Linked DNA regions of Kluyveromyces lactis. The protein of the gene in region 1 binds, or shares a complex with, the protein of each later gene. Links are inferred from orthologs where the notes say so. Each region holds a gene or a part of one and is shown in the gene's direction. Other genes may lie near its edges.

The links.
Region 2: YCS4 (region 1) and BRN1 share a complex: the UniProt entries of both Schizosaccharomyces pombe proteins name them as parts of the condensin complex. The link is inferred for Kluyveromyces lactis from reciprocal best matches to the Schizosaccharomyces pombe genes cnd1 and cnd2.
Region 3: YCS4 (region 1) and SMC4 share a complex: the UniProt entries of both Schizosaccharomyces pombe proteins name them as parts of the condensin complex. The link is inferred for Kluyveromyces lactis from reciprocal best matches to the Schizosaccharomyces pombe genes cnd1 and cut3.
Region 4: YCS4 (region 1) and SMC2 share a complex: the UniProt entries of both Schizosaccharomyces pombe proteins name them as parts of the condensin complex. The link is inferred for Kluyveromyces lactis from reciprocal best matches to the Schizosaccharomyces pombe genes cnd1 and cut14.

Annotation. Positions count from the first base shown.
Region 1 is NC_006042.1:1,868,701-1,877,047, forward strand, and holds the start of YCS4 (condensin subunit YCS4), read left to right. Parts: upstream 1-5,361; coding exon 5,362-8,347. Other genes in the region: ATP-binding cassette glutathione S-conjugate transporter YCF1, read right to left, coding at 86-4,636. UniProt on the Schizosaccharomyces pombe protein: Regulatory subunit of the condensin complex, a complex required for conversion of interphase chromatin into mitotic-like condense chromosomes.
Region 2 is NC_006041.1:607,047-615,498, reverse strand, and holds BRN1 (condensin subunit BRN1), read left to right. Parts: upstream 1-3,256; coding exon 3,257-5,575; downstream 5,576-8,452. Other genes in the region: KLLA0_E06755g (sugar porter family MFS transporter), read left to right, coding at 555-2,558; i-AAA protease YME1, read left to right, coding at 6,003-8,312. UniProt on the Schizosaccharomyces pombe protein: Regulatory subunit of the condensin complex, a complex required for conversion of interphase chromatin into mitotic-like condense chromosomes.
Region 3 is NC_006042.1:1,756,618-1,765,081, forward strand, and holds SMC4 (condensin subunit SMC4), read left to right. Parts: upstream 1-1,493; coding exon 1,494-5,612; downstream 5,613-8,464. Other genes in the region: ARP6 (Arp6p), read right to left, coding at 1-1,159; CSF1 (Csf1p), read right to left, coding at 5,598-8,464. UniProt on the Schizosaccharomyces pombe protein: Central component of the condensin complex, a complex required for conversion of interphase chromatin into mitotic-like condense chromosomes.
Region 4 is NC_006040.1:1,344,580-1,352,860, reverse strand, and holds SMC2 (condensin subunit SMC2), read left to right. Parts: upstream 1-2,856; coding exon 2,857-6,369; downstream 6,370-8,281. Other genes in the region: RRT5 (Rrt5p), read left to right, coding at 1-481; KLLA0_D16027g (60S ribosomal protein uL2), read left to right, coding at 1,169-1,172, 1,650-2,410; MET10 (sulfite reductase subunit alpha), read right to left, coding at 6,439-8,281. UniProt on the Schizosaccharomyces pombe protein: Central component of the condensin complex, a complex required for conversion of interphase chromatin into mitotic-like condense chromosomes.

The DNA of each region.
Region 1 (8,347 bases):
CTAGGAAACAATTGCTTAACAAAATTATTACAAAAGTACTTAAATAAACAAAATCTCTGTTATGATAATACAACTTGAGGGGGTTTCACTCCGTTAAGCCGGCTTCAAGACATAACGAATAGAAAATAGAATCCTTCTTCTGTAACAAATTCTGAGGAGTGTCGAACTCTGTTACTCTACCTTTATCCAACACTATAATTCTATCACTGTCCATAATTGTGTTAATCCTGTGAGCAATTGTTAAGATTGTTCTTTCCTTAAATGCGTTTCTAATCGTCTTTTGGATCAATTGATCCGTTTCAACATCAACAGCTGCAGTTGCTTCATCCAAAATCAAGATATTACTTGAAATCAACAAGGCACGAGCCAAGCACATCAATTGCCTTTGGCCTACACTTAAATTACTACCACCTTCAGTAAGCATGGTCTCCAAACCATTAGATCCCATACCCAGTATGTGATCCTTCAAGTGTGATAAAGCCAATGCATTCCAAATTTCTTCATCGGTATACCGATTAGTAGGATCGATGTTTTCTCTCACTGTGCCTTCAAAGATTTGAGAATCCTGCGGGATAATCGACAATCCATGTCTCAAATCAGCCAAACCTATAGAATCAATTGGGATACCATCGATCACAATATGACCAGAAGCTGCCTCGATAATTCTGAAAAGGGCAAGTGTCAAAGATGACTTTCCAGCACCTGTTCTACCAACAATACCAATTTTCTCCTTTGGGTGAATATGTAAATCAATGTCCTTCAAAATCAATTCTAGTTCTGGTCTGTAACGGGTACTGTAGTTCACAAACTTTATTTCACCTGATTCTGGCCATGATGCTGGTGGCCTATGGTCTTTAATAATATATGGTGCTTCGCTCTTCAATTCTGCATACTCTTTGATTCTTTCAACACTAACAATATTAGTTTCTACTTCCACAGTCATTCTGACAATCCAATTCAACGATTGAGTGATTTGCAAAGCAAAACTCAATGATAGACCAATCATACCAGCAGTTAGAGTTCCATTACCAAGTCTAATAACAGCCAACATAGATGCAGCCAATATGATCACGGATCCGATAAATTCAAGTCTAAATGCCAACCAACGGTTAGCATTGACACTAGGATAGAATGCGCTCATATTATTGTCAACTCTGGTTTGGTTGATATGTACAAAGCGGTTCTGTTGAGAATACCCACGGATGGTAGTCAACCCCCCTAAGGTCTCTTGGAAGTGCGCATAAATGGGTGACCTAGTAACAGAATCCAACCGACGCAATTCTCTTGAGGTTCTCAAGTAGTACTGTTGATAATAGATGTACAATACACTCAATGGTAACACAATAAAGATAAATTGCCAAGTTGCCATGCAAATAACAACGATGGTGAAAGAGACCTTAACAACATTTGCAAAGAATTGAGCAAACGTTCTACCCAAAATTTCATCTACCTTATAAATATCATTCGAAAACCTGTTTAGAATTCTTCCAATAGGAGTTGTTTCAAAGAAAGACATAGGTGCCTTTAAAACACTTGAAGCCATTGCATCATGTAAATACTTGGAGCCATGGATAGTACAGAATACCCATAGAACAATAGTCTGTATTAATGTTGCCAGAGCGGAACCAACACCTAAAGCTAAGTAAATCATCAAATATCTTGTGGCATGGGGGTTATAGCCTTTCTCAGTATTGACTTCTGACCAGTGTTTGAGCCAGAAATTACCAATGACGGCCAACAGCATCGAGAGGATTAGGAAACCCAAAAACACACACACGTTGCGGGGGTTACACGCACGGGCGTACTCCATATAAATATCCCATTTGACTTTACCTTGTTCCCTGTGTTCTCTTCTGGCGCTATTTTCATTGTCATCAAAACCAATTGAGCCTAAGGTTGCCAAAGAAGCTCTTCTTAGAGATTTTAGGTCTTCAGCTTCAGATAAGTTTTCGGTGTCCAACTGATTTATATCTACGGTAATTTCAGAGATCTTTGAGTCTGAATAAGATTCAATTCCTTCCGACGCTAATTTTGCCAAGGAAGTAGTAGATTGGGAAGGAGTTGGTTTACCCTTCTTCCCAAACTCGGCAATAAGCTTCGATAGTGGAGAGTTTGTTGACTCATTAACTTGATCATAACTTCCCTGCTGAATGATTTCGCCGTTTTCCATGAGAGTAATGGAGTCCGCAATGGAGAGAACAGTAATTTTATTTGTTGCTAACACCTTTGTTTTGGAATGCAACAAACCGTGTGGACCCAAAACGTGTTCAATCAAATGTTTAGCGACATGCTCATCTACAGCAGCGAGAGGATCGTCCAATAAGTAAGTATCAGCACGAGAATAAACGGCACGGGCTAACGATAGTCTTGCTTTTTGGCCACCAGATAAAGAAATACCTTTTTCACCAACTAAAGTCTGGTCACCATCTGGCAACATAGAGAGATCAATACTCAAAGCACACGCTTTTATAGTCAGCTGGTAAAATTCTGGATCATACTTGTGACCAAACAAGATATTATCTTTAACAGTACCATTCATAATCCATGGAACCTGTGAAACGTTGGCGACGTCACCGTGAACAGTTGCGAAACCCTTCACTCTAATCAAATCTCCTAGTAGACTTTGAATAAGTGCACTCTTACCACTACCCACTTTCCCCACGATACATGTTAGTTCACCTTTCTTGGCAACAAAATTTATGTTTTTCAAGGCAACTTTATATTCAGGTTTGCGTTGCCATAAGAAAGTTGCATCGTTGACTTTAACACCTTCGTCACCAATATTCTTTACTTTTGGTTCACGTAAAACGGCATCATTTTGCAACTCTTCGTTAGTCAAAAATGCAAAGAGTCTATTTATGGACACAGATGCTTCAATAAATGAAGAGATTGCATTAGGAACAACAGCAAGAGGGAATGACAATAAATTGAAAAGAGTTAATGCAGGGAAGACTAGATCAGTGGATAATGGTCTTTCCTCCGTGTATACGAAAACAGCAAAGGTAGAACATGACACAAGGAAAGGCACGATATTGAACTGGAAATTAGCCAATGCTAATGTACATCCCATTTTCTTCAAGTTCTTCAATTCTTTCTCGTTCCTGACATGATCCAATTTGGCCTTGTATGGGATTTCCCACCCGTAAACTTTCAAGGACTTAATATTGTTCAAGATTTCGGAAGTGACTCTAGTTCTTTCATCTTTGTTCTTCATTTGAATTTTCTGCAATTTTTTTTGTATCCTCACAATAACAGAATTTATAGGGATCATGACAATCATAATGATAACACCAACCCACATGCATGGACCTAAAAGCTTGTATAGAGAAACCAAACACAACACAATTTGGAATGGGCCGGACCAAATAATTTGGCCCCATTGAGTTAAATCCTGTAATCTTTGAACATCAACACTCATTAAATTAACAATATCACCGGTAGATGAAGAAGCCGATGCTTCATTTGATAGAACAAGGGCCTTTTGATAGATTACAGATGTCAAACCACTCTTGATATTCATCCCCGTATCGAAAGCGTTCAAGAAGTATTGATGCAAAATGGACGTTTGAACTACACTTACAAAGAACATAGCCAAAGATAACATGACACCTTTGACTAAAGGAAGTTCTGGCTCAGGTGTGGAAGTATAATCTGAAACGAACTTGATCAAAATTCTTAACAATTGAGGTTGGGTGAATTGTAAAATATCATAAGCAACTTTGAAAGTACCACCTAAGAGTAATTTACCACCAAACGTAGTTAACATCGCCCAAGATAAAGATGGATTGGCCTTGTGTTTCAATTGATACTGCCAGCGCTCGCCGAATTTCTCGGAGATTTCTTTTGAGCCGAAACTTTTTGGCAACTTGTATAAATCCTTCTCAGTCAAATATTTCTTGTAACCTGTTTTCATCAATTCTGTCATCCAACTGAAACTTAATCTTTGGAATATATGGGCTGAGTCCACTGGATTACGTTTTTGCTTAGAATAGGATTCTATGACTCTCTGATAAGAAGGCAATGGCTTTTCGAATAATGATTCCAATAGTAAAATCATCACAGCAGAGATGGTCTGGAACACAGTTAAAATGTACACGGAATATGACACGGGCAATTCATGTTCATCACCGTAAGCATGTCTGATACTGAAGTTAATCCATTTGGATCCTTGAAATAAACTTTCGAACAACCAATAGAAGAGAACTACCCCGTTAGAAATCCTTGATCTGTGGTACTCCACCCAATGTAACATTAACGCTACAAATATGGATAAGAGAGTTAATGTATATTGGGAAGTTAGTGTTACACTTTCATGTTTTTCGCTAGAATAGTAAGCGGACATTGAAGTGAATAACAAGAAACACCCAACTAACCCGATTCTTGAGAGCAACAACCAATCATGTTTGTATTTCACCCCTGGATGCTCAGCTTTACTCAATTTAACTAACTGATAGGTACCAAATATTAGCATGAACAACGCTGCAAAATTCAATAGTACACCGTCAATAAAGCAAATGGTAAAGTCTCCGAAGTACGATATAGGACCGAACCCCTCATCATCACGGCATAACCAGCATGCGGTGCTATTTCCAGAAACAGCTGAAATCATTTCTGAAACCGAAACCGTTTGAAACATTTCGCAATCACCCGTGGGACCATAAATTGTTTTAATGAACGTACCAGTCTTCTTGTTTAACCTTTTTTTTTCGATTAAGTGGCATTTTATGCTTTGTCTTATATGCTGTTCTTTTTTTTTGGAATTTCTTGTATCTGCTTCGTAGTATTACAAATATAATAAAACTGACTTCCAAACACTAGAAAATCTGTTCAAGTTCAGCTGCTTATTTCGGAGCTGAGCCATGTCAAGCTATTTACTTTCAAACGACTACTGAGCAATTGGCTTGTAGACGCACCAATGCGTAGATAACTACTCTTTGCAATATCTTTCCTCCGGTGAACAACTTGGCCTAGTGCATTTCAGCCCTAGACAAATATGGCTACACTCATTTCGACATGTTTCCAATAAGGTGGTTTCGTGGTCTAGTCGGTTATGGCATCTGCTTAACACGCAGAACGTCCCCAGTTCGATCCTGGGCGAAATCATTTGTTTTTTTAATTTTTTTTGTTTTTTAAACATTAGCAGTTCCCGTGTTCTGCATTTGTTTACGTTTTCAGACTTGAATTTTAAAATCAACAGTAACAATTGCAATTAATCACGTAGACCTTACAAATGAAGGTGCTCATCGGTAGTTTTTCTTACTCCCTTTAGATTCATTACCATCTGTTTTGATCTCCGAGATACTTAAAGAGAATCAACTAAATACTTCATGGTCTAAATCGTTCAAGTTGTATCCTCTAAAAATGTCAAATTTTCAGCTCACGGAGTATCTTTCCTCGTTCCAATCCACAGATAAATCATCATACGGAGCCCTTGAAGCACCTGGTTCCACTCTCAATCAGGTAACGGATGTTTTAGCTTTAAATTCAGAGTATGAAATAGCAGATGAAATCTTTGAGACACTAACAGATTTGACTCACTCGTATCTACATTTGAACTATAATGTGAAACAACAACTGGTATATTTGGTGTCCTCGTGCCTATCAAACTTATCAGCGCTGATCCAATCTAACTTTCAAGTCGATGAAGAGGTATTGCTCTCATGGAAGATCAACCTACAAAAACTTGGATACCTGGTACATGTTTTGTTGATTTTCATTCAAGATGATTTGTTAAATCGAACTCAGCAACAGCAGCAACAGAAGAAAGAAGAAACAAAGCTATACTCCTCATTACTCGAAATATTGCTACCTAGTATCATAAAACTTGCACAGATACCACAGCTACCGAAACTTTTCGGAACCTTGTTGGAAAGAGATCTATTCATTGGTCTTTTCTTGAAACCGCTTTTCACGTTAGTCGAATGTGAATCGCTAATCAAGATAAATCAAATCACCACCATGATAATTAGAACCATAGCTATATTTGTGAAAAATGACAACCAATCGCAACTAGTACAAAACTTCATTATGGCCAATCTAACTTATTTTCCTCAACTTACAAATTTTAACGCAGAACTATTGACCTATATCAATGATGAGTTCGACTATCCTCAACTTACCGAGGACATCTTGAGGAATATTAGTAACAAGGAGTTTAACGCGAAAGATTTGTCCGGACCAAAATCTATATCTAACTTTTTAATCAAGATATCTGAGTTATCCCCCAGAATTGTGCTGAGGCAAATGACGTCAATTATAAGATTGTTGAATAACTCGTCATTTACATTGCGTTGTTCAGTGGTCGAAGCATGCGGAAATATTGTTATAGACATTGCATCTGACCCTGATCTATACCAACATTATAAACAGCAAAATGACACTTTAATTGAACTGCTTGAAGAGAGATTCCAAGATTCGAACCCTTATGTCAGGTGTAAAGCTATTCAATCATGTGTGAAAATATGTGACCTCAAAATTAAATTTAACTACCATAGACTGTTAATTACTTCCTTGGCGGTACGATCTTTGCAAGATAAATCATCATTGGTGAGAAGAAATGCTGTGAAATTGTTATCACAGTTGTTATTAACACATCCATATGATCAGATGCACGGGAGTCAATTAAAGTTACGTGATTGGAAGCAAAGACTGCAAGATCTAGAATCACAGAATTTCGACCCTGACGACGAAAAAGTGAAACTAACTCGCCAATATTATAAAGATGCCATCTCTTTTATTGACTCGTTGCATAACGCTATCGAACTCTGTGTGCCTTTGCTATTTTCTCGGAATAAGTCTGAAGTACTAGAAACGATGGATTTTCTTGTATTATGTGATGCTTTCGACTTGGAATTGAGTTATATTGGTGTCAAGAAAATGTTACATTTGGTTTGGTTCAAAAACTCTAATGATGAAGGAACGAACATTGCGGATCATTTAGTTTCTTGTTATAAACAGCTATTTCTTACCACTCCTGACCATTTTAACTATAAAGAAAGGTCCGCATTCATAGCTAACAACTTAATTAAGTTGACACTCGATGCATCCATATCAGACCTTGCCTCACTAGAAAGACTAATAGGATTAATACATGACAGCAAATTGATTGATTATAATGATATCAATGCGCTCTGGTTGATATTCCAAAGTCTGTTAACTGGAGGGCGGATCGGCACAACAGAATTTTCCTCTTCTCAAATCCATGGTGCAATAACTGTGCTAGGAATGTTGGCTCTTGCTGATAATGAAGTTGGATTACACGGCCTCCCTTTCATTTTAAAGGTTGGATTCGATCATGGCAATCTACCAATAATCAAAATGACTTGCATCGTTCTGCAAAGAATGGTGGCACCTGATCACACTGAAATTCCACACCAGGAGGAAGTATTGAAGAACCTTCACAATCTCGTCATTTCATCAACTGATGACCATGATTACTACTCAATGTGTGAGCATGCAATTAACGCAATTTTCGAAATTTCCGAAAGACCCGATATTATTTGCAATACCTTAATAAAGGAAAAGACTATGATAACTTTTGGCGAGCTTCGTAATAAGAATATTGAGCATTCAAGATCCCAAGCAATTGTTGAGTCTAGACTTGCTTCTCTTTGTCAGTTATTATTCATTGTGGGACAAGTGTGCATTAAGGTAATAGTATTTCTAGAAAAGAGTGAAGCAAAATTCAAAAAATCCAAGATACAATTCGAAACACTGAAATCGGCAGCTAATGAAAACAATAATTCTGATCCTGATGCTTCTGTTGGAAATACCACAGAACAACAAAAGGAATTGGATCTCATCGGAGGTACTAACGAAGATGATTTCTCAGATGCGATTCAATATATTAAGGAAAACGAGCTATTATTTGATCCCAATTCCTTACTCTCTAAATATGGTCCATTGGTGGAGGAGATTGTTACAAACTATGATAAATTTAATGATAAGTATCTCCAGAGAAATGCTGTTTTGTGTTTGACAAAAATGATGTGCGTCTCATCTAGGTTCTGCGAGAAATATTTATCGCTTCTAATTACAATTATGGAGAGATCACCCGATCCTATTATTAGATCAAATGCTGTTCTAGGGCTTGGTGATATGGCTGTTTGCTTCAATAATCTGGTTGATGAAAATACAGATTTTTTGTACCGCCGTTTACATGATGAAAACCTCATGGTTCAGAAAACTTGTTTGATGACTGTGACATTTTTAATTTTAGCTGGGCAAGTGAAGGTCAAAGGACAATTAGCCCAAATGGCTATTCTCTTGGACAACTCAGATCAAAGTATAAGTGATATGTGCAAACTCTTCTTCACAGAATTATCAACCAAGGATAATGCTATCTATA
Region 2 (8,452 bases), on another chromosome or scaffold:
ATTCAAGCAAAGGCAGTAGTATAGTCCGGCTCCTTTCATCTCTGGCTTTTGCTTGGATCGTCTCGCTACTGCAAGCAAATAGTGATTGAATTTTTTTTGATTCATTTTTGCGTTGGAGACTATTATTAGTCCCTGTTAGTAGCCGGTAGCGCTTAACACCACTGCAAAATGAAAACTGGATTACTTCCGTCAACGTTAGCTATGTTATTTACACGGCTTCACGGAGAACCTGAATTGAAAGACAGTATATATAAGTAGGCTCTGAAGTATATACTTTTCTCAAAGATCGTGTTGTCATGGCTGTTAATACTTTTACGTCAAATATTTTTCCATGATCTTCCTCCCATATAAAAAAGGTTCATAACAACCAAAAACCTATAATAGTTTTGAGAGGGTTTATCCTCATATAGTTTTTGCATTATAAAGTTGTTTTGTTTTTCCTGAATTTGTCTTAGAAAAACTTGTACAAAGGCCATTAACCGATTTACGTGAAGAGGTCTTGAAGCAGAATATTATTGAACAGATAGAGAAAGATTGTTAGTATCAAAATAGTCATGGATAATAAAGAGGTTAAGAGTAGTCCTTCAGTTGAGGATGTTAACTCATCTACCAAGAAGAGTGCTGATCTGTCGAATGCAGAAGTGACCAGCTTTCATGAGGCAAAGAGGAAATCTGCCGGTGGTGGTGTTTTCGTTGCGATGAACGATGACAGTTCCATTTCTAGTATTGGTGAAGATCCAGAAGGAAGGGATCCGAATAGTGTGCAAGAAGAAAATATATTGGCTGAATATTCAGAAGAGCAGGTTATGAACATGGGACGTGCTTTTGCTAAGAAGTACGAGTTGCCAAATGATGATGATATTTTCGCTCGTGGTGCTGCTTTGGCCAGAAAACCAAACGAATACGACAGGTTAAATGTTCTAAAGGAAGATGAACGTATTGCTTGTTACGATGAAATTCATCATCCTTGGAGAGTCCCTCCAAAGTTGATTGCTATTATCGCTGCCAGTGCAATGGGTGCTGCCGTGCAAGGTATGGATGAAACTGTTATCAATGGTGCTAACTTGTTCTACCCTAAAGAATTGGGTTTAGGGTCAGGATCCAAGAGGGACGATTGGTTGGAAGGTCTTGTTAACGGTGCACCTTATCTATGTTGTGCTGGTGTCTCGTGTTGGGCTACCGATTGGTTGAACAATATGTTTGGTCGTAAAAAGGTTATTTTCATCACTTGTGCTATCTCTGCTATCACCTGTTTCTTACAAGCTTTCGGTCCAGCTGGTACTCCAGGGTGGCACTATTTGTTTGCCATGAGATTTTTGTTGGGTTTTGGTATCGGTCCTAAGAGTGCTACGACTTCCGTTTACTTGGCTGAATGTTCTACCAAAAAGTTACGTGGTATCATCTGTATGAACTGGCAAACTTTCACTGCTTTCGGTATCATGTGGGGTTACGTTTTCTCTTTGATCTTTTACAGAGTTGGAAGAGCTGGTATTGCCGGTGGGTTGAATTGGAGATTAATGTTAGCCAGTGCTATGATTCCTGCTATTTTAGTTTTAGTGCAAATCCCATTCTGTCCTGAATCTCCCCGTTGGTTAATGGGTAAAGGTCGTTACAAGGAAGCTTATGAATCCACCCTCCAGATTAGAAATCACAAGATCCTAGCTTGTCGTGATCTTTTCTATCAACACGTTTTGTTGATGGAAGAAAACTCTTTGGAAATGTCTTACTGGACTAGATTAAGGGAAATCTTCACTGTTAGAAGAAACAGAAACGCCTTGATTTGTGCCTTCATTTGTGCCTTCATGCAGCAATTCTGTGCAATTAATGTTATTGCGTACTATTCCTCTGCCATTTTCTTGCAATCAGGTTTCACTGAAATTTCTTCATTGTGTGCTTCCCTAGGCTTCGGTTTAATTAACTTCTTCTTTGCTATTCCTGCCTTCTTCATGATCGACAGATTTGGAAGAAGATTCCTTCTATTAAACACGTTCCCATGGTTGGCAGTATTCCTTTTGATTACAGGGTTTTCTTTCTGGATCGATGATACAGAAAAAAGAATCGGTGTTGTTTCGATGGGTATTTACGTATTCTCTGCCATTTACTCTTTCGGTTGTGGTGTGGTTCCATTCGTTATCGCTGGTGAAGTTTTCCCCTTGTACGTCCGTGCCATTGGTGCATCTCTTTTCACCATTGTCTTGTGGGGTTTCAACTTCATTCTATCTTTAACTTGGCCAAGTATGCTACGTGCCTTCGAGCCTCAAGGTGCCTTCGGTTTCTATGCTGCTTGGAACGTCATCGGTTGGTTCTTAGTCTACTTCTTCATGCCTGAAACAAAGCAATTGACTTTGGAAGAATTGGATGAAGTGTTTGATGTACCATTAAGGGTTAGAGCCAAGTATCAACTATTGGAATTGTGGCCTAACATTCAAGAAAACCTCCTAAGAAGAAAGAATGTTAAGAGACAACCACCACTCGATAAACACCACAGAATGGCCATCAAGGCTGCCGAATGGAACGAAAAGGCTGAGGCTGAAGAATTGGAAGTTACCGAGATCTAAAATCAACTCAACACTTAATATTTTTATGTCAGTAGAAATATTTTTTGGTAGAAATTAACCTCCTTTGCATGATAAAGCTAGCTCAAACTATCATCATGTCATCGCTTTTCACACTAATTGATAACTTATCAAGTAATAATATTGCGAATTAAAGAGAATTTGAACAGAATGCCTGGTGTATTTAAATTCACTCTAATTCCCCTTTGTCTTCCTCTGTTTAATAGCTTAACTGTTGAACTTTCAATTAAGTAGATATTTATCTAGCTAGTTAGTAATGTTTTAATGTGATATTTTAAATGTAAGAAACAAATTTTAAAGTTCTAGCTAATATCTTGACATGTTGAAATAAAAGTGAAGAAGTCATGTAGACCAGGAAGTGATTGCAAACATTAATGACTATACTTACCAAAAATCGAATCAGATGCATTAGATGTGATCATGGGAAACGCTTGAGATGCTCCTAAAGTGTTCAAACCAAGGCTTTATGCAGCTGCTTCTCACGTGGAAACTTAGTCACTAATCACGATTTGATGTTTACGTTTATTTGATGTTTTGTAAACATTGAAGGATCGGGACGCAGTATTCAGATCCATTTAAAGCTGTTCAGGAAAACAGAGGCAAGTCAGGAAACGGGATAATTGTGAGCATTATTCAGCTGCTTTATCAAAGCTACCTTGGTTAGGTTTTCAGGAGTAGCAATGACTACCCAATTACCGTATGACGATGATGACAACGGTCTTTTCACGAATAAGTCCACTATGATGGCTAACTTTGAAGAATGGATCAAAATGGCCACGGACAACAAAATCAACTCAAGAAACAGTTGGAATTTCGCATTAATTGACTATTTTCATGACTTGAACGTGTTGAAAGATGAGGAGGATAATATTAATTTCCAGAAGGCTTCGGCGACGTTAGACGGTTGTGTGAAAATCTACTCTCATAGAGTCGATTCCGTCGCTACTGAAACAGGGAAGTTACTAAGTGGATTGGCAGAACGGAAAGGGAGGCAAATTAGATCCAATACAAACGGAGAGAACGATGATGGAGATGAGGAAGATGATGACAGTCTAGAGGTAGATCCTTTAACTGGTCTGCCGATTGCCCGTGATGACCCAGAGACTCTCGCGAAAAAAAAAAGGACGTACAATAGAGTGTTAGAAACGACGTTAGTTGATTTTGAAAGTATACGACTGAAAGATTTAGCACAAAACCTAAGTATAGATCCGTTGTTCAAGAAGGCACTCGCCGATTTTGATGAGGGTGGTGCGAAGAGCTTACTTATAAACACGTTACATGTTGATGAAAAACTCCGAGTTGTTTTTGACGCAACAACGACTGAACCTGAACAAGAACAACCGCAACCATTGGCCTCTACTGAAAGTCAAGTTCAGGAAGAAAATAATGAAGTCAGCGAATCAGCAAAAGAGACCTCGGAGGTATTTGGCTTGGATTCAGAAAAGGGTTCAGCAAATGAGGAAAATGTAGAATCAACCCCAGATACATCAGTCACATTGCTAGAGGATGATATATTAGATCTCGGTGTCAAATTCTTAGATTTTAATACTATTGAAACCTCAATATTGTGTCCATCGATGGATCAGCTCCAAAGTGCAGTAGCGGATATTGGAAAAGCAAAGTCATTTGTTGAAGGAGTGAATGGCCAATCTGATAAATTCTTGACAGAAAAAGATCTAGAGACCCTTCCTGAACTCGATGCGGAGGCAGAGTTCAACTACGAAATGCCACCAGAGGATGGTGAGGATGTTGCTGTTGATGCAGGTTCTATGGACTACGTTGAGCCAGCGGATAACATTCACGAACCAGAAGAACAGCTGGCCCTATCAAATCAACAGAATATGTCACAAATAGATGACAAATCGTATGGCGATGCGAGCGTACTCGATCAAGAGTTACTATCTTACTTTGACGCAGCGATAGGTCAGAATTGGAGGGGTAGAGAACACTGGAAGGTACGAAACATCAAGGATAAACTTAGCAAGGAGTCTGTGGCCAAACCACAGCAGCCAACTGAAGCCGATGGGAATCATGAACCAGCAGTTGAAAAGAAGGTACCCAAAAAACAGTTTGAGATTGATTTCTTGGATCTGAATGATAACATTGAAGAAGAAATATTTGCAAATAAAAAGGGGTTCATTGATCTATCAGTGAAACAAAGAACAAATGATTCACATTTCTTACTACCGGACGACTATAAATTCACAACGGATAAAATCACAAGGCTCTTCATTAAGCCCGAGCAGAAGATGAGTTTCTTTTCACACAGGAGGATCAGTAAAGCCAGGTTACCTGGGTCCCTGAAATTTGATGATACCGAAATCAAAGAAGTGAGTAATATTCCGGAGATTGCAGACGAACGCTTTTGGGCTGAAAACTATCAACTGCATGAAAGGGAAGAAGAGCACAAGCAAGATGACACACAGATAGAAAGATCAACCAATCCATCGTTTGAAGAGGATAACGGCATTGACTTCAACCAAGCCTTCGAAGATGAAGATTTGGATATGGATACAAAAGAAGATTTCGTAAACACGCAAGGATTAGTTGCAAATAATAAAATGACCTACTCCAGAACCTCCAAAAAGGTAGATGTGAGAAAATTGAAGAATAATGTGTGGAAGTCAATATGGCAACGTTTACATGTACTGAAGACAGACGAACAAAATGGGGAAACTACTCGGAATGAGGAAACTACTCAGAATGATATCGAATCAGAAGCACATCTGACCGAAGAGAAGCAGGGAAAGCAGGATATATCAGCAGAAATATCAACAAAAGCAGAGGGCTATGACTTGAAATTCACCGATATCGCTCACGATATCGTGAACATGTACACTTCAAGTGCCAAAAAGGATCTCTCAACCAGTTTCTGCTTTATCTGCCTTCTTCACCTCGCTAATGAGTATGGATTTACGATTAACGACACTACAAACTACCAAGACTTGGACATTCGGTTCCCTGAAAAGATTGCAGACGCAATTATTGGCAAGGAGTAGCCGAACTATAGCCGACGTAATTATTTTGTTTGTATATAGAAGAGTATTGATCACGTGATGTTCGTCTAAAAAGACCTCGTTCCTTTTTATTTTTCTGGCACTTTCGAATCGGATTTCAGCTGTTACGTAGAGTTTCTCCCTAATGAAATGCAACGCCACCCGGACGAGCGTTCATCAGCTTCCAAGAATTTGTTGATAATGTTGAAATTTGAGTAAATTGAGCATTTGTCAAATTTAAAGGTTTTTATTTTCTTTAGAATGAGGATATATATGGCTATGATTATTCGGGTCATTTAGAAGGCAACGAAAGAGGCAAAAGGCTTTTAAGAATAGTGAACAAAGGAAGCAACGAAAAAGTTGTATATACCAGCTCAGGTACTTTGAAAAAATCACTTTTACGGTGTACTTATTAAGTGTTAAAGGCTAGATGACGCTTCCGGTGTTGATTGGTGTTTCTGGTTTGTGCGCCAAGAACGCTTCTCGAGTGTTGATTCGTCAAGCCCCTGTCTTGACAGGGCCAATTTTAAGGACTTTGCATAGAAAGCATTTTCTTACAGGCAGCGTGCTACAAAACAGATTATATTCGGACAAGAACCAAACAGGCAAGGATCATAATGGTGTTACAGGTTCTCAGCATTCGGAGGACTCGAAGAACACTGTAAATGGGGCAACAAGTGGTGCAGAAAATGTTCAGCAGCCCAAGCAACTAAACGGGATTAATTCGAGTGATATTGATCCGGCAAATGGACCTGTATCACACGCTGTTTTGGCTACTAAGGAACAGCAAGCTAATAAAGATTTGTCTAACCCAAGTGCGCAAGCGGAGTTCTATAAACTTCTCTTGAAATCGAACTATCCGCAATACGTTGTTTCGAGATTTGAAACTCCTGGTATTACTTCATCGCCTGAATGTATGGCTTTGTATATGGAAGCTTTACAAAGGATCGGTAGGCACGCTGATGCTGAGTCTGTGAGGCAGACTTTGTTGACGACTGCTCCAGCTGGAAGTATTCCTCCTGCCGTGGCTTCATCTGGTGCTTCTTCCGCTGCATCGGCTAACGGTGCTGCTGCCCAAGTTACTGGAGGTGTTTCATCTGGTTATTCTGGCATCTATAATCCGTACATGGGATCCAAAAAGGAACCTCTACATGTTGTTGTCACTGAATCCACATTCTCTATTGTTTCCAGATGGTTAAAATGGTTGATCGTATTTGGTGCAGTTACATACGGTTTGACTGAAGGTTTCAAATACATTACAGAACATTCAACCCTCTTCAAGACAAATGAAGTCGCCGATAAATCTGTGGATGTTGCAAAGACTAATGTAAGATTTGATGACGTGCGGGGTTGTGACGAAGCTAGAGCTGAATTGGAGGAAATTGTCGATTTCTTAAAAGATCCTACCAAATACGAATCCTTGGGTGGTAAGTTACCTAAAGGTGTTCTATTGACCGGACCTCCAGGTACTGGTAAGACTTTATTGGCAAGAGCCACCGCCGGTGAAGCTGGTGTTGACTTTTTCTTCATGTCAGGGTCAGAGTTTGACGAAGTTTATGTAGGTGTTGGTGCCAAGCGTATCAGAGAGTTGTTTGCACAGGCCCGCGCTCGTGCCCCTGCTATTATCTTTATCGATGAATTGGATGCTATTGGAGGTAAGCGTAATCCCAAAGATCAAGCTTACGCAAAACAAACTTTGAATCAATTGTTGGTTGAATTGGATGGGTTTTCCCAAACAAGCGGTATAATTATCATCGGTGCCACTAACTTCCCAGAATCATTGGATAAGGCTTTGACAAGACCAGGTAGATTCGATAAGGTCGTCAATGTTGACTTACCTGATGTTCGCGGGCGTGCTGACATTTTGAGACATCATATGAAGAAGGTTACTGTTGCTCCTGATGTGGACCCAACTATCATTGCAAGAGGAACCCCAGGTCTTTCTGGTGCTGAGTTGATGAATTTAGTTAACCAAGCCGCCGTATACGCTTGTCAGAAAAATGCTATTGCTGTCGATATGCAGCACTTTGAATGGGCAAAGGATAAAATCTTGATGGGTGCTGAAAGGAAAACTATGGTTCTCACTGAAGCTACTAAAAGAGCCACCGCTTATCATGAAGCCGGGCATGCATTGATGGCACTGTACACTGCCGGGGCAACGCCATTATACAAAGCAACTATCTTGCCAAGAGGCAGGGCATTAGGTATCACTTTCCAACTTCCTGAAATGGATAAGGTGGACATCACTAAGAAAGAATGTCTAGCTAGGTTAGATGTGTGCATGGGTGGTAAGATTGCAGAAGAACTGATTTATGGTAAGGAAAATACTACCAGTGGTTGTGGTTCGGATTTACAAAATGCTACCAACACTGCTAGAGCAATGGTTACTCAGTACGGTATGAGTGAACAAGTCGGACCAGTAAATTTGGCTGATAAGTGGGACTCATGGTCTGGAAAAATTCGTGACGTTGCTGATAACGAAGTACTTGAACTTTTGAAAGCTTCAGAAGATAGGACGAGAGCCTTATTAGCAGAAAGGGAAAAGGAATTGCATAGATTAGCTCAAGGATTAATGGAATACGAAACATTAGATAGTACCGAAATTCAGAAGGTATGCAAAGGAGAACCTATCAATAAAATGAAAATGGCCACTACTACGGTGGTTGAAGGACCAGACAGCGATGATCGTAAGGAAATCGGCGGTGATAAATCAAAAATTCCGGTACTGATTAAAGCATGATCAGACGCAGAACTAAAACGTCATTGGATACGGACTCCTAGCATTACACCATTGATTGAACATTTCACCGACCATCTTTCTGTATCTGCATTTGACCTGTTTGAAGAACCCCACTACAATGGTTATGTTGCAACTTGTAC
Region 3 (8,464 bases), about 120 kb from region 1:
GGAACTGATCCGAGTTGGCAAAGTCTTTCATGCTTTCCCATCCGTGTAGAGATTTGTCCTTTTCCTGGGGTGAATGTACTTTGCAGCTCCAGTCTATCGGACATTGTCTTTGTAATTCTGTTTGTAATCGCTCGTGGAAGTTTGGAATGTTAAAATTGCCTCCGGTGCATACTATATTGGCAACAAGTAATGGTCTGACGACTTCGGGACACATGTTGATGCATTCTAGAATTGTTTCGACGATTCCTGGTTTTAAAATCTGTGCAATTTCAGGATGAAAGAACGTTTCTGGTACCGAGAAGACTTCATCTGTGAGTAATAAGGTCTGTGCATCATCCGTGAGCTTTTCTTTACCTGGTTTCTTAACGTACCCCAAGAAACTCGTTTGGAAGTCCGGTAGTACATACTCGACCTTTGTGTTCATTTTGTTGTGGAAACTTGAAAAATATGATTCAGGGGGAACAAAAGTACATTGCTCCTTGATGTTATTTACAAGTATTGTCTCTTCCATCACATTGTAATGCCTAAACGAAATGGTTTCCTGTAATAGGCCTGTTAAAAATCTGCCACCGATGTCGAGTTTCTTGATAGCTTTGTAATACGGTACTCCCTTTATTATAGGAACAGCCCATGTGCAGTTAAACCCCGAGTCTATAACTAATTGGAAGTCCTTGTATGAACTAGTTTTCTTGTCTTCAGCAGCGGTCATTGCGTCATCTTGATATTGACCCTGGTAAAAAGGAATATATTGTGCTACAGGTCCTTTGAACATAGATTTGAAATCATATTCTTCGAATATTACCTGGTCCATGTTTTTCGAAAGCTCTGGTATCGTCATGAGCGTCTCACTTACTACTAAATGATGATCTTTAGTGTCATTGTCGTGTGTCAAGTTCCAATGGAAGTCGTCCTCGTTGTAAAAACAGTAATCCCATACTTCACTTTCTAATTCCCATGATACAAGTTGACCCAATTCGTGAGGCCTTCTTATTAAAGCCTGCGATATATCCCGCATTTTCTTCGTTTGATTTGAAAGGTGGAAGCGAGAGTATTTGTCCTTGGTTAAGCAGTTTAACGCTCGCAGTGGCTGATCCCATCCACTCTCACCAAATTTGATTTCATACGATCCGTTATCGATCACCAATACAGGCTCACTCATTTTAATAGATGTATGATTATATTATTCCCATTAAATTATCCCATATAGCCAATTTGGCAAATCATCAGGACATTCAAAGAAGCGCGCATGCAGATTGCCTGTGTTTTTCTGTAGTAGTGCTACAATTTTTCTTCATTTCCTTTTTGTTATTTTTCAAATTTCATGTTTTGAAAAGATTGTTTGTTTACCAAACAATCATGATGTAAACCAAAGAACTTTTAATATTCTATCATGATGGCGATGGCGATGGCAAACCACCACAGCCAACGAGCACCTCGACCTGTAAAGCTATTATTCTGGTTGCCTCCTGTAGCTGCACTATAGCTTGATTGATATGACTGCAGACAGTTCTGTGCCGCATCTGGGAGACTCACCAGAAATAAAGAGGCAAAGAGTATCACAATCGCCAACAAGGACGCCAAGGAAGTTGGTTTTGGGCTCACCTGAAAAAAAATATGCCGTCTCTAATTCACAGGCTACTACTGCCGCTTCTAATACAATGGATCCACCGAGTCTGCAACCTCCTACGGCACATGCTGTACGAGGGCGCGAATACAGTCAGTCTCCGCCTAGGTCTCCTACGCGATCACCTACTAGATCTCCGACAAGAAAGCTTGAATTGATCAGACTTTCACCCAAAAAAAGTACACGACTTGAATTACAAAAGATGCACGAGGCCAATACTCAGACCTCACAGCGATTATGCATTGATAAATTGGTTTTGAATAATTTCAAGTCGTATGCTGGTATTCAAGAGATTGGACCATTCCACACATCATTTTCTGCAGTTGTTGGTCCTAATGGATCAGGAAAATCTAATGTTATCGATTCAATGCTTTTTGTCTTCGGTTTTAGAGCCAATAAAATGAGGCAAGGGAAACTCTCCGAGTTAATTCACAAATCTGAGCAGTTCCCGAGTCTGGCATCCTGTTCTGTCCAAATTCATTTTCATTACGTTCATGATACAGATAATGGTGAAACCAAGATTCTTCCATCGGCTGGTACAATGGTGGTTGAAAGAAGAGCATTCAAAAACAACTCTTCAAAGTACTATGTTAACGGGAAAGAGAGTAATTATACTGAAGTAACAAGACTTTTAAAAGAGGAAGGAATTGATTTGGACCATAAAAGATTCTTGATTCTTCAAGGTGAAGTGGAATCGATTGCCCAGATGAAGGCCAAGGCTGAAAAGGACAACGATGATGGACTTTTGGAATATTTGGAAGATATAATTGGCACAGCTAAATTCAAACCGCAAATCGAGAAGTGTCTAGAAGAGATAGAAACTTTGAATGAGGTTTGCATGGAGAAAGAAAATAGGTTCGAATTGGTAGATAAAGAGAAGCAGAATCTTGAATCTGGCAAAGAAGAAGCACTGGAATTTCTTGACAAAGAGAGAAAACATACTATATTAAAGGCTCAACTACTTCAGCGCCAAATTTATGACAGTAACCGTAAATTGGCAACGAGCTGTGATAAAATATCTGCGTTGAACATGGAATTTCAAGAGGAAAAGAGTCAATATGAACATTTACAAAAGGAAGCTGAAACCCTGACACATGAAATAAACAATACCAAGAAAGAAAGCACCGCATTAGAAACTGAATCTAAAAACGTGAATTCAAAAAAACGTTCTTTAGAAAAGGATTTTATTGCCACAGATGAAAAACTTAAAAGTATTGCAAGAAAATTAAAGGCTGCGGAGAAGGCATTCTCCCAATCGGAATCCAACGGTAAAGCAGCAGTCAATGAAATTGAGTCGTTAAAAAAGAATCATGATGATTGTGAAATAGAACTTCACAATCTCAATCACTCTATCAGTATTGAGAAGGAAAAACTTAATGAAATCAAAATTCATTTGCATGAAAAAACCAAAGATCTATCGCAGGAGATGGAATCCTTGGAAAGACAGTTAGAACCTTTTAGGGATCAGATACAGGAAAAACAATCTGAAATTAAACTTTCAGAAACAAAGATCACAATGTTGAAATCCAGTCACAGTAATTTGCTGAAAGAAAAAGCTACCATTGAAAGTAAGATAGAAGATCTGCAACTTGAAGAGCTGAAACAGAAAGAGACAGAAACTTCTTTACGAAACGAAAAATCCAAGGTCGAGGCCAGGATATCCACTGCTCAAAAGGAGTGTGAAGAAGCCCAAAAACAAACGAATGAAATGCGAGATGTTTTGATTCAACAACGACAGATTGTTGAAGAAGCCAAAGCTAACCTCAATGGGTTCCAAAACAAAAATAGAGTCCTACTTGCTCTTACAAAATTGCAGAATTCAGGACGTATAACCGGCTTTCACGGGAGGTTGGGAGATTTAGGCACGATTGATGATCAATACGATATTGCTATATCAACCGCTTGTCCCAGGTTAGACGATATAGTTGTAGAAACTGTGGAATGCGGGCAGCAATGTATAGATCACTTGAGGAAAAATAAGTTAGGGTATGGGCGTTTCATTCTCTTGGATAAATTACGTAAATGCAATTTGGACAGAATAGCCACTCCTGAAAATGTACCTAGGCTTTTTGATCTTATAACCCCTGTCCGTGATTTATTCCGACCTGCATTCTACTCAGTTCTCAGAGATACGTTAGTTGCCAGGGATTTACAGCAAGCTAATCGAGTAGCCTACGGGAAAAGAAGGTTCAGAGTGGTCACGTTGGATGGGAAATTAATCGATATTTCCGGTACAATGTCAGGAGGGGGTTCTTCTCCCCAAAGTGGCTTAATGAGATCAAAAGCTACTACGGCAAGTCAATATTCTCGCGATGAAGTGGAGAAAATGGAAGTACAACTTTCAACCAAAGAAACTAATTATAGGTCAGCTCTATCGATGGTCCATGAGATGGAATCTGCATTACAAAAGTTAACAGATCGTCTTCCGGAGATTGATATTCAGATTTCCAAAATACAACTTGAGAAAGGATCTCGGGTCGCTGAGGTGGAATCCTATCACCAACGACTATCACAGCTTGCTAGGGAACTTTCTATGAACGAGAAGAATCAACAGCCACTGTTGGATGAAGAGAAGAAACTAGATATTTTGAGACAACATTTGCAGCAAACAATTGATGCTTCAAAGTTTAGCCAAGATAAGATTGATGATCTCAAGGATAGAATCATGCAGAAAGGAGGAATTGAGCTCAAGATGCAAATCGCAAAAGTTGCCTCACTTGAACAACACATTGAAATTTTACATGAAAAGCAGAAAAAGGAGAAGACCAGAAGTAAGAAGCTTGACATTGATCTGGCTAGAGCGACTAGGGAAAAGAACAAATATTCGGAAGAAGTTCTAGTCTGTAATAAGGATATTTCAATACTTTCCGAACAATTGGAATCAATTCGACTGGAAAAGGAAAGAATTGAAGAACAAGTAATCGAAAACAATGAAAGAAAAGCAGAGTTGAACTCTAGCGTGGAGAAATTGAAACAAGAGCTTCTTTCTATTGAAAGAGATTCCAATGAGTTTAAAGCAAAAGAATTAGAGTACTCAGATAGATTAGAGAAGTTGCATGGGCTACAAGAGTATGTTAAAAAACAGCTGAGAAGTTATGAAACCTCACTACAAAGTCTTAAAATCAGAGACGTTTCCAAACTTTTAAGTCAATTGAATGACGGAATAATTGAGTCATGCACAGATGTAACTGCTAAGGTAATGAATGGTGACATAGTTCAAACGCAGTCTATCACAGATGTCGGAAATAATGACGCTATGGAAGATTCTGGTGAAGCTGCAACCCACAGCGGGTTACCAAGTTTGACGGAAACCGAGTTGGAAAATCTCGATTTAGAAACTCTAGAACTTGAACTTCATCAATTACAAGACTACTTGGATAACTTTAACGGAGATATAGAAGTACTAGAGGAATACGCACGCAGGCTTGCAGAATACCAACGTCGAAAACTAGACTTAAATCAAGCAGTTGCCAAAAGGGAAGAAGTAAGAAATAAGTGTGAAAGTTTCAAGAATGAGAGACTAGAGAAATTTATGGAAGGTTTCGGCATCATATCTATGACTCTAAAGGAAATGTATCAGATGATTACCATGGGTGGCAATGCAGAGCTAGAACTTGTTGATAGTCTTGATCCCTTTTCGGAGGGTGTATTATTCAGCGTCATGCCACCTAAAAAATCTTGGAGAAATATCTCCAATTTATCGGGTGGTGAGAAAACTTTGAGCTCTCTAGCATTGGTATTTGCTCTTCATAAGTACAAGCCTACACCCTTGTATGTTATGGATGAAATAGATGCTGCCTTAGATTTTCGGAATGTCTCGATTGTGGCTAATTACATCAAAGAACGAACAAAAAATGCTCAATTTATTGTTATCTCACTAAGAAATAACATGTTTGAGTTAGCTCAAAATTTAGTGGGAATATATAAAAACAACAATATGACTAAAAGTACAACCCTACAGAATATTGATATTTTACATAGTTCCTAAATTATCCCCTAATGTACGATTGTACTGATCTTCAGCAACATAGATTAGCTTCTGTAATGGAACCACTATCAATTGATGTGCCATACCAGGGAATCTTTTCCTGTTAACTCCAAACCATTCAATAGGCGGTGTAGCATTTCCTAGATCCCTTAAAAGTGGCATCTCGATGTGTGGCTCTTCCAAAGGAATATATTTATATTTTGTGCCAAGATTCACAATTTTGATCTTTTCAGCAATGTTTTCGTCTTCGAAAAAGGGCTTTGATGGAGATGGCTCAGTGTGACCTCGTCTTACAGATAATGCACGTACATGGGTCGCCCACATTTCCCTGATGAAGTTAATTGGGTCGAGATTCCACTTGATATCGACTTTATCCCCAAAACTACTGGAATACAAGAACTCAATGTCTGTGTCAGGGATTTTCTGCCAAGTGGTAATTCCAACAAATACTGAGGGAGCCGCTAGAATTATGTCTCCTTCTAAAAGAGCAGCTTGTCTGTTGTACTCTTCGACGCTCAATTCAGCAAACTGCTCTTCAGTTAACTCATTCTTAAACTGAGCCAAACTGATATTTATGTCGCGTATTTGCCATGTTAGATCTGTTTTCGTTTTTTGCTCAGTCTGAGTTGCGGCTTCAACATTCATTTTATTTGCCTTCAGCACCAATACTTCGCTATCAAATAAAGTACTTGGAAAAACATATAGCCTGAAAGATCCTATTTCAGCAGTCAAATTAGTTCTTAAACGAAGTGGCGCCAGTAATTCATTATTTGAGAAATGAATCTTTCCCGAACTTTCAGGATTTGATTCCTTTAGGGTCTGTACGTAAGACTTTTTATTTTCGATCCTCATTCTGGCAAATGTTGCATAGATATCGTAGAGATTAGCAGAAGCCAAAGCCGTTAAGAAAATATTAACGGATCCAAATGACATGGATACAATTAACAAATCTTTCAATAATCCACTTTCATCCCTCTCGTTACGAATAGCTAATTGCAAATCCGACACACGAGCGATTAAAAAAGAGTGGTAATCGAATCCAATTTTTGAAGACAGGTGGCTCATTTTGAAGGCTAAATTTATCAAAGGCGCCTCGAATTTATTGTCTTTAACCGGCCAGCTTATACTAGAGTCAAAAAATATGTTTTTAATTTCAAACAATCCACCTAAACGACCATCAGACTTCGAGTTTAATTCATCCAGATAAAAGCTGACAGAGTGAGACCAATCAACTCTGTGGTGAGACGATATCCAAAATGTAGGCACTTTGAAATTAATTGAACCTAGCGATGGATCCATATCAATTACAGCTGAAGTGTTTTTGAAGATTATTTGGTAAATCCACGGAATTTTAGGAGTTGTGAATTCGGTCAGAGCTTGAGGTTGGCATTTTTGCCCAGAGTGTGGTCCAGATCCTAGTTTCTGAGCTTTTTTAGTCTTTGGAGACCATATGTCAAGAAATAAAGTGATCTCTTGCAACTGTTTCATATTAACGTAAAATTTCATGTCGGATATCAGAGTATTTCCATATGTTTTGATGGTGTTTTCGTGTGTTAACATAAAATCAAGATATACTTCATTTATACCCGCTGAAGAACTGATTTCACGAGAAAAAATATGTCTGGTACTGATTTCAATTTCTGACCATTGTAGTGATAGAGACAGCGGTTCGGAATGATCTGGTGAGTCGGTAAACATCGAGATTCTGAAGTTACTGAAGCCTAGGTCTGCTTGAATTTTTGCTCTTGGCTCACATGTCAATGTGATATTTTGAGCTCCAACGTTTATCACTATCGCTGTGTCAATTTTTTTGAATAAATTTTTGTAGTCGAAAGAAATGCGCTGAGTATTAGTTGTCTGTTCTTGAGTTTTATGGACCAATTGCTTCTTTTCAGAGTTAAATCTTTCCATCTGTTTCTGGATTTCTGTTGTGAGATTTACTAAAACTGGAACGCAGGATGAAAACAAAATGTTGTGAGTTGATTCAACATTTACTAGACTTCTGATCCAATGCTGCTTCTGCGAAGGGAAGTTGTGCATATAGTCCAAGGAAACTTCTATTGATGGACTAGTGAGCTCTAGCGACGATTTGGGAGAATCTTGTGCAATATCATCGGGAGTGTAAAGATTTATTATACCACCTCCATATTTGGCAATACAATTTATTGAACGAATTGAAAGGATTGAGACTTTGTCACTTAAATTCTCAGCCACATTATGTGTTGATATCGAACTTTTCTTAATATTACTGATTTTTGCCAGCTTCTTTTGAAAGCTCTCTATTGAAGACCTCATAACGTTTACAATTTCTACCGAAGTTGTCAGTATTCTGACATCTAGCTTGTCTGCGTTCATTCGAACAAACAAGTCTTTTTCTATGAATTGACCAGAAAACCAAAAATTTATCTGCATGCTGGACAAATGGCTTCGGTTCAGTTCTGGAACGCCATTTGCAAAAAAGAAGTTATTGGATTCCTTCCCTTGTGCCGTAGCCACATACCCATCGACAATAGTAAGTTTTCCGTAAGGTTTCTCGTACGCAGCGAACAAGCTTTCGTATCCAATTACTATCCCATTTTCATCGGTATCTTCCTCGAAGATCCAACCGAGACATAGTTTATTGGAAAGAATGTTGACTGATAATGTCTCGAAGTAAGGAGGAATTTCGATTGCATTGGAAGAACTGTTAAACTTTCCCTTTTGTTTAACTTTCTGAAGTGAAACTTTTGCTTCCTGTATGAAGAATATTACAGCAATAAGCGTGGAAGGGGCCAACATAACTCTCGAATGAGGGGTTTCTATCTGTAGTGTCTTCTTTATATCGTCTTCTATAAGTTTCAGTGCAAATCCAA
Region 4 (8,281 bases), on another chromosome or scaffold:
TTATAGACGTGGGTTCACTTTCCATCGCCATTTCACAGCAGCCTTGGTAACGTTCCCCGATGCCTTCAGGCTAAACGATGCGAAACAGTTTGCAACACAAGAGAAATTTAGGGGCAAACAGATAAACGTGAAGAACGCATTTATAGAAAAGATTGAAGAAGTGCAAAGGGCTTTAGAGAAGAAGGCGGGTGCTAACACTAATGGAGAGTCCGCGGAAGGCAACAACGAAATCCCAGCAGATGCTGGGGTAACAGGAGATGAACCTGATACAGCTAATGCTGTTGCGGCAATTCCTATCGAGGGAAATCCTCAACCACAAGCTGACGGTAATGACGGTGCTGTGGTGGAGCCCGAGGCCAATGCCGAACCGCTTATCGACCAGGAAGATGGTGTGACAGCATCGCAGGACAATCCATTACTTAATTCAAATGCAGAGTCTCAATTAGAATCTCAACAACCTGTAGAACAGGTCGCAGCCTAATACACATACTACTAGCATTACTACTTCTATCAATTATATAACTATGGTTTCATAAACAACATGCTTTTCTACGTAAAATGCAACAAAACAGTCATCGGGCGATCAGTCAATCAGTCAATAAATTCATTAGTGACACATTCAACATCAGCAAGTACACAATAACAGATTATGTGACTGTTCCACCTTACATCCGTACCTCAATGTATTTTATATATTTTTGGAATTTGGTTATACATTATTACTGTTTAAGGTAATACACATAAACTTTTTCAGAAAAACTTACACAAGGCAGTCCAATTGTGGTAAGGCTGGGTGTCCTGGGCAGACGTCCCCCTGCCGATATTCCTTTCCTCTAAGACTGAGCCGTTCTGCCAGGGGGAGCTGAGACACAGAGTCTCTCTGTCCGGCTTTCCTAGTCCTGCCCAGGAAACTCTCCCTCCAGGCTGGAATTCAGATTCACAGAACCAATGCCTAGGCTGGGACCAGAGTTTCTGCCCAGCCCCTTCGGTTCCAGTACATGGACCAATTCTGGCAAATGGTGAATTTTCAATATTGTAGGTATAGTTATTGAAGAAAGAATTAAAGATCATTCATTGAAACTATATGGTAATACTGCTTTGCAATAGTATTTTGTGTTACACTTTATTCTTATTGCACTGATACTGTCCAACCAAACCGAAGTAAACAATGGGTATGTCTATTACGGTGACATAGAGTTATGAGGATTTGAAAGCACTGAATTAAAGAAATGGCCATCATTTTAAGAACGAATAATGAAATATAGAATAATGTTAACCAGGCACACACCGGCCATAATTAAACAATGCAAAGAGCGAATATGATATGTTTTGAGAGTTGATGATTGAATTACTGTTAGCGATATGCAATATATGTGTTAAATCTACCAAAGAAGATGATTGGGAATTATTACGTCAATATCATTGGGAAAAAGAGATTTAAACGATACAGAGAGCAGAGGAAGAAACGACAATAGCTGGCATGGGATCAATGATAGATCTGGAATTATAATGAGTGTCGATTCAGATGTGGTTCAGATGTTTTTTCAACAATTATAATAAGAATTTTTCAGTTATACTAACAAGAATTATCTTTCAACAATGGCATGAGCATTTTGCATATCCATTGTCGATTGTCAGTTTCAAAACAGGTAGAGTTATTAGAAACCAAAGAAAGGGTGCTGGTTCTATCTTCACCTCTCACACCAGATTGAGACAAGGTGCTGCCAAGTTGAGAAACTTGGATTACGCTGAACGTCACGGTTACATTCGTGGTGTTGTTAAGCAAATCGTCCACGATGCTGGTAGAGGTGCTCCTTTGGCTAAGGTTGTCTTCCGTGACCCATACAAGTACAAGTTGCGTGAAGAAACCTTCATTGCCAACGAAGGTCTCCACACCGGTCAATTCATTTACGCTGGTAAGAAGGCTTCTTTGAACGTTGGTAACGTTTTGCCATTGGGTTCCGTCCCAGAAGGTACTATCATCTCTAACGTCGAAGAAAGACCAGGTGACAGAGGTGCTTTGGCCAGAGCTTCCGGTAACTACGTTATCGTTATTGGTCACAACCCAGAAGACAACAAGACCAGAGTTAGATTACCATCTGGTGCTAAGAAGATCATTTCTTCTGATGCCAGAGGTGTCATTGGTGTTGTTGCCGGTGGTGGTAGAATCGACAAGCCATTGTTGAAGGCTGGTCGTGCTTTCCACAAGTACAGAGTCAAGAGAAACTCTTGGCCAAAGACTCGTGGTGTTGCCATGAACCCTGTTGATCACCCTCACGGTGGTGGTAACCATCAACATATTGGTAAGGCTTCTACCATCTCCAGAGGTGCTGTTTCTGGTCAAAAGGCTGGTTTGATCGCTGCCAGAAGAACTGGTTTGTTACGTGGTTCTCAAAAGACTCAAGATTAGATTTAAACAATCTCCATATGTTTAGGTTTATTGTTGTATAAAAATAATTTTATTAAATGTCATTTCAAATCTGTGTCTGAAGAACGATGTGGATTCCAATAGTATACAAAGCTTCAAATTTCAATATAATTATTAGTAAACTACTTCTACATACCGTTTTTTAATCATTTCATCCTTTCGTCATATTATCACAGGCTATTTTTGAGCACTAAGATCCCCATCGTCTCTGCAATGTATGTTTTGCCTTTGTCTGTCTTCCCTCATTATTTTATGCAGATTTGATTATGAGAATTTCAACATAAATAAAGATTTGAAATATGTAAACAAAAGACCTGATGAGATCAACAAAACAAACACAAAGGCGAGTCAAAAAAGTGAATCCAACCCTGTCAACGCTTGCTGTGAGGTTACATATCTGCTGCTTTAGATAACCCGGTGATATCACAATGAAAGTGGAAGAACTTATCATCGATGGGTTCAAGTCATACGCCACAAGAACTGTCATTACAGATTGGGATCCTCAATTCAACGCCATCACTGGTTTAAACGGGTCAGGTAAATCGAATATTTTAGATGCGATATGTTTTGTGTTGGGTATTTCATCAATGGCAACCGTTCGTGCTCAAAATTTACAGGATTTGATCTACAAGAGAGGTCAGGCTGGGGTAACGAAGGCCAGTGTTACCATCGTATTTAATAATAGCGATACCAGTAATTCACCAATTGGATTTGAATCGCATGCGAAAATCTCAATCACTAGACAAATCATACTCGGCGGAGTCAGTAAATATCTGATCAATGGTCATAGGGCCCAGCAACAAACCGTGCTTCAGTTGTTTCAATCGGTGCAATTGAATATTAATAACCCGAACTTTTTGATCATGCAAGGTAAAATTACCAAGGTTTTGAACATGAAGCCGCAGGAGATTCTTTCGTTAATAGAAGAAGCCGCTGGAACAAGGATGTTCGAAGATCGACGGGAAAAGGCAGAAAGAACTATGGCTAAGAAGGAGACCAAATTACAAGAAATTAGAACTCTTTTGACTGAAGAAATTGAACCAAAACTCGAGAGATTCAGGAATGAAAAGAGAACGTATTTAGAATTTCAAGAGACTCAATCTGATTTAGAAAATGTGATGAGAGTGGTAAATGCATTTGAATTCAGTCAACTCTCAAATAAAAAGAAACATATAGAAGAAAGTTTACATTCTGGTCAAAGTAGACTCGAAGAGTTGGAGGATACAATTTCTAGGTTAAAGAACGAAGTCGAGAACTTGGGAAGTGATTTAGACGCTCTAAAAGAACAGCGGCATAAGGAGGTTCAGTTAGGTGGTAGAATGTCGGAATTGGAAACTAAAGAATCTGAAATTTCAAATGAGCTTTCAAGGGTGCAAACAAGTTTGAATATCGCATTAGAAGATTCGGGCGAGGAAAAGGTAAGGATCAGTAACTTGAAGAAAAATATTGAGAGGTGGAAACAACAGCATCAGGAAAAGAAAACTCTATATGACTCGAAATATAAAGAGTACAATATTCAAAACAAGAAACTTGAGGAACTGAAAGCCATTCATAAAGAAAAGCAAGAACTACTCTCAACTCTAACGACTGGTATCTCGTCTACCGGTACCACTGCAAATGGATATAATTTTCAACTATCCACCATCAAAGAGAAGTTACAAAACACTAGAATTGAAATAAGGGAGAAGGAAATGGAAGTGGAAATGCTTAAAGAAGAGCTCAATTCAAATACTCCCAAAATTTCTGCTGCCAAGGCTGAAAAGGAAAAATACGATAAAGAAATACAAAACATGCAACATCATTGTAATAATCTCGAAAAACAACTTGAACAGTATGGTTATGATCCAATACTATTGAAAAATCTAAAGGATAATGAGCGTTCCTTAAAACATACACACTATCAATTGAGCCAGGAAACAGAATCCTTGCATAGGAAGGTCTCAAACTTGGACTTCAACTATGTTCCACCTTCAAAGAATTTTGATGTCTCGTCTGTTAAGGGAGTTGTCGGACAATTGTTTACCCTTGACGAAGCAAACATTGATAGCTCTGCAGCTTTGCAGGTTTGTGCAGGTGGAAGACTTTTCAATGTTGTGGTAGATAACGAAAGAACTGCTTCACAACTTTTGGAACATGGTAGGTTACGCAAACGTGTAACAATCATTCCTCTTAACAAAATTTCGTCACGAAGAATCAACGAGTCCATCTTGCATTTAGCAAAAGAATTAGCTCCTGGAAAAGTGGAATTAGCTATAAACTTGATTGGATTTGAGGAAGAAGTCACGAGAGCCATGGAATTCATTTTTGGAACAAGTTTCATTTGCAGAGACGCTGAGACTGCCAAACAAATTACATTTAATCCAAGAATCAGATCTAGAAGCATAACATTACAAGGTGATGTCTATGATCCTGAAGGAACACTTTCAGGAGGAAGTAGGAATTCTTCAAATTCACTACTACTTGATATTCAGAAATATAATCATGCATCATCGAGGCTCAAACAAGTTGAGAACGATTTGCAGGAAGTCGGCTCACAAATCAAAGACCAGCAAATGAAAGCTGAAAACTCAAAAAATGTGTTATCCGAATTGAATTTAGCCACACATAAGCTTAAGTTAGCTGAGAAGAATGCACATGCTAGCAACGCAATGCAGCTATTTAACCGTAATGAAGAAATTCTAACTCAATTGAAAAACTGTGAAATGCACATATGTCAGTTGACATCATTGACCAAAGAATACGAAACTGAGATAATAAACATTCAAAGAGATATGGAAGAATTCAATAAAGACAAGGGTTCAAAGCTCAGGCAGTTAGAAGCTAATCTCTCTGAAGTCTCTGCAGAAGTGGAAAAATTAGACACTGATACGGCTAAGCTGTTTGATGAATATCAGAACTTGAGTTTTGACACAGAACAGCTACACACAGATATTTCTAACGCCCAAAATGAAGTATCAATTGCAGAGAAAAGGCTTGCAGAACTGGAAACAACGTGTAATGAGTACGAGGGCGTTGTGAGGACCAAAAAGTCTGAACTTCACGAAGTACACAGTATTTTACAAGAGGAAATGTCCAGACTTTCAGGAATGGAAGATGAGATATCAGAACTAGAGTTATTGCTTAAAAATAAGAACCATCTACTTTCAACTTCGGAAGTGGATTTACAGAAGATTACAAACGACTTGCATAAATACAAGAATAACACTTTTGGCATCGATCAAGCCATTGAAAATTTAATCAACGAAAATGATTGGTTGGAAGATACTTCCATGGTCAATAGCATCTTGACACAGAATAAGAACATTAATCTAGATCAGTACAAGAAACGTGGTTCCGATTTAGCCGAAAGCTTTCAGAGCTTAAGAAGGAAGGTGAACCCAGAGGTAATGAGTATGATTGAGAGTGTAGAGAAAAAGGAAACGGCATTGAAAACAATGATTAAAACCATTGAAAAAGATAAGCAGAAAATTCAGGAAACTATCGAAAAGCTTAACGAATACAAACGAGAAACTTTAATAAAAACATGGGAGAAAGTCAGTGTAGATTTCGGAAATATTTTTGGCGATCTTCTCCCGAATTCATTCGCCAAATTGGAACCTTCAGAAGGTAAAGATGTAACCGAGGGATTAGAAGTTAAAGTTAAATTAGGTAAAATTTGGAAAGAGAGTCTGGTAGAACTCTCTGGTGGACAGCGTTCCCTAATTGCGTTATCATTGATCCTTGCATTGTTGCAGTTCAAACCTGCACCAATGTATATATTGGATGAAGTGGATGCCGCATTAGATTTAAGTCATACTCAGAACATTGGTCATCTTATTAAAACCAGGTTTAAAGGCTCCCAATTTATCGTTGTATCGTTGAAAGAAGGTATGTTCACTAACGCTAACCGGGTGTTTAGAACTAGGTTCCAAGATGGTACATCAGTAGTTAGTGTTATGTAATGATTCTCATATACCAAAATAAATAGATTGATAAATAATAAACAGTATTCAACGAAACACATAAAAAAATCAGTAAACTTCTAGGATATATCTAGAAGTTTCCTTTAAGTCTTCAATGGCAGCATCCAAGTCAACGTTGATGCCCTTCTCCTTCGCATCTGCAGCAATAATATCTTGTAGAGCTTGAGTGATATCAGGAACAGGCCACGTTGGACCACATAAGTAGAAGGAACCTTCATTGTCAATCATTGCAGTCTTCAACTCTGGCAAGTTTTCTTTGATACGATCTTGGATGTAAATCTTTTCAGGTTGATCTCTGGAGAAAGCGGCACCGATGTGAGTGATAATTCCAGCATCCTTATAAGCTTCCCATAATTCACCGTATAAATATTCTTCTCTCTTGTGTCTAGAACCCAAATACAAATAGACTTCACCGATTTCATAACCTTGTTGTCTTTGCCACAATTTTTCTTCTACGATAGCCTTGAAAGGTGCTAAACCAGTACCTAAACCACTCATAATAACTGGTTGCTTTGGAGATGGTGGCAACTTCATAACACTTGGTTTCACAGATACAACAAGTTCAGAACCGATAGCTAAATCAGAAATGAATTTTGAAGCTTGACCATATCTCTTTCTTCCCTTATTATCAATCCAGTCCACAACGACAATCAATAAATGGACTTCGTTAGGGTGGATTCTTTGAGAAGATGCGATAGAGTATTCTCTTCTCTTCAATGGGGCAATTATTTTCACAAGATCTTCAACCGATGGTCTGGCTGATGGGAATAACTCGAAGATATCGGCATAAGTATAGTACTCGACATCTTGTAAGCGTTTTAATTCAGTAGCACCGGCAGCAGAAACTAAGTTTTCTAGCTTACTCTTCTCTTTGTCGTCAGTACAAAAATCGATCAAACTCTCGTAGAAGCGCTTTGGTGGTTTACCGAAAATATCAAGATTTTCGACGAAGGCTTGCAAAACGGTTCTTGACTCTAAGTAGTGATGGTCATCCTTATTTGGTACCTGAACAATGTCACTTTCATTCAAACCATAGTACTGCAAGAATTTTTGCACATTCTCCAAGTTGTTTTTTGCATGAACACCCAATGCTTCACCAATATCGTAAGTCATTCCTGTCCCAGAAATGTCAAACTCAATATGGAAAATGTATCTATCATAGTCATCTGGAGTGACACGTCTGTTCTCCTTAACTTTAACGACATAATTGTTAACGGGCAAATCAGGCCTCAATTGTTGTGACACTCCGTAAGCTTCTTGGAAAGTCAACTTCTTTGAAATTTCAGCGATCTTAGCAATTTCAGTCTCTGGTACTTCTTCGGTAAATCTCTGGTTTGCAGAGAATGAGGTTTCAGTGACAAAAGTTGGTAACTGATGGATTTCTTCTTCTTTTACTTCTTCACCCTTAGCTTTATCTTCAATGAATGTAGCGTAAACTTCATTTGGAATGGCCTTCACGCCAGTTTCAAGGGCAGTACTAATGGTATCAGACAACACAGCAGCAAGTAATTCGATATCAGGACCTGCTGAGTTCCAGATACGACGAATGATGCTCTGTTTGTCATCGTTAGTTGCAGCACTCCAGAAGACAGCTTGAGTGACGAAGGACAAAGTACGACCTTTAGTTTCCTCTCTGTCACCAATTGTTTCAACGTCGATCAATGTAACATTGATCTTCTTTTCAGCAACAGTGGTTAAAAATGCTTCGTTAATTTTCAATTCATCAGTGTAGAACTTCTTATCCTTTAAATCCTTATCAACCAAAGAGCTCTTCACCAATACAATGATGGAACCTTCTTGCTTCACAGTGGAAGCTACGTCATAAGCATTTAAAATGGAAATGTCTTCGACAACAATCACATCGGCAGAGTCGATATTAGAAACAACACTT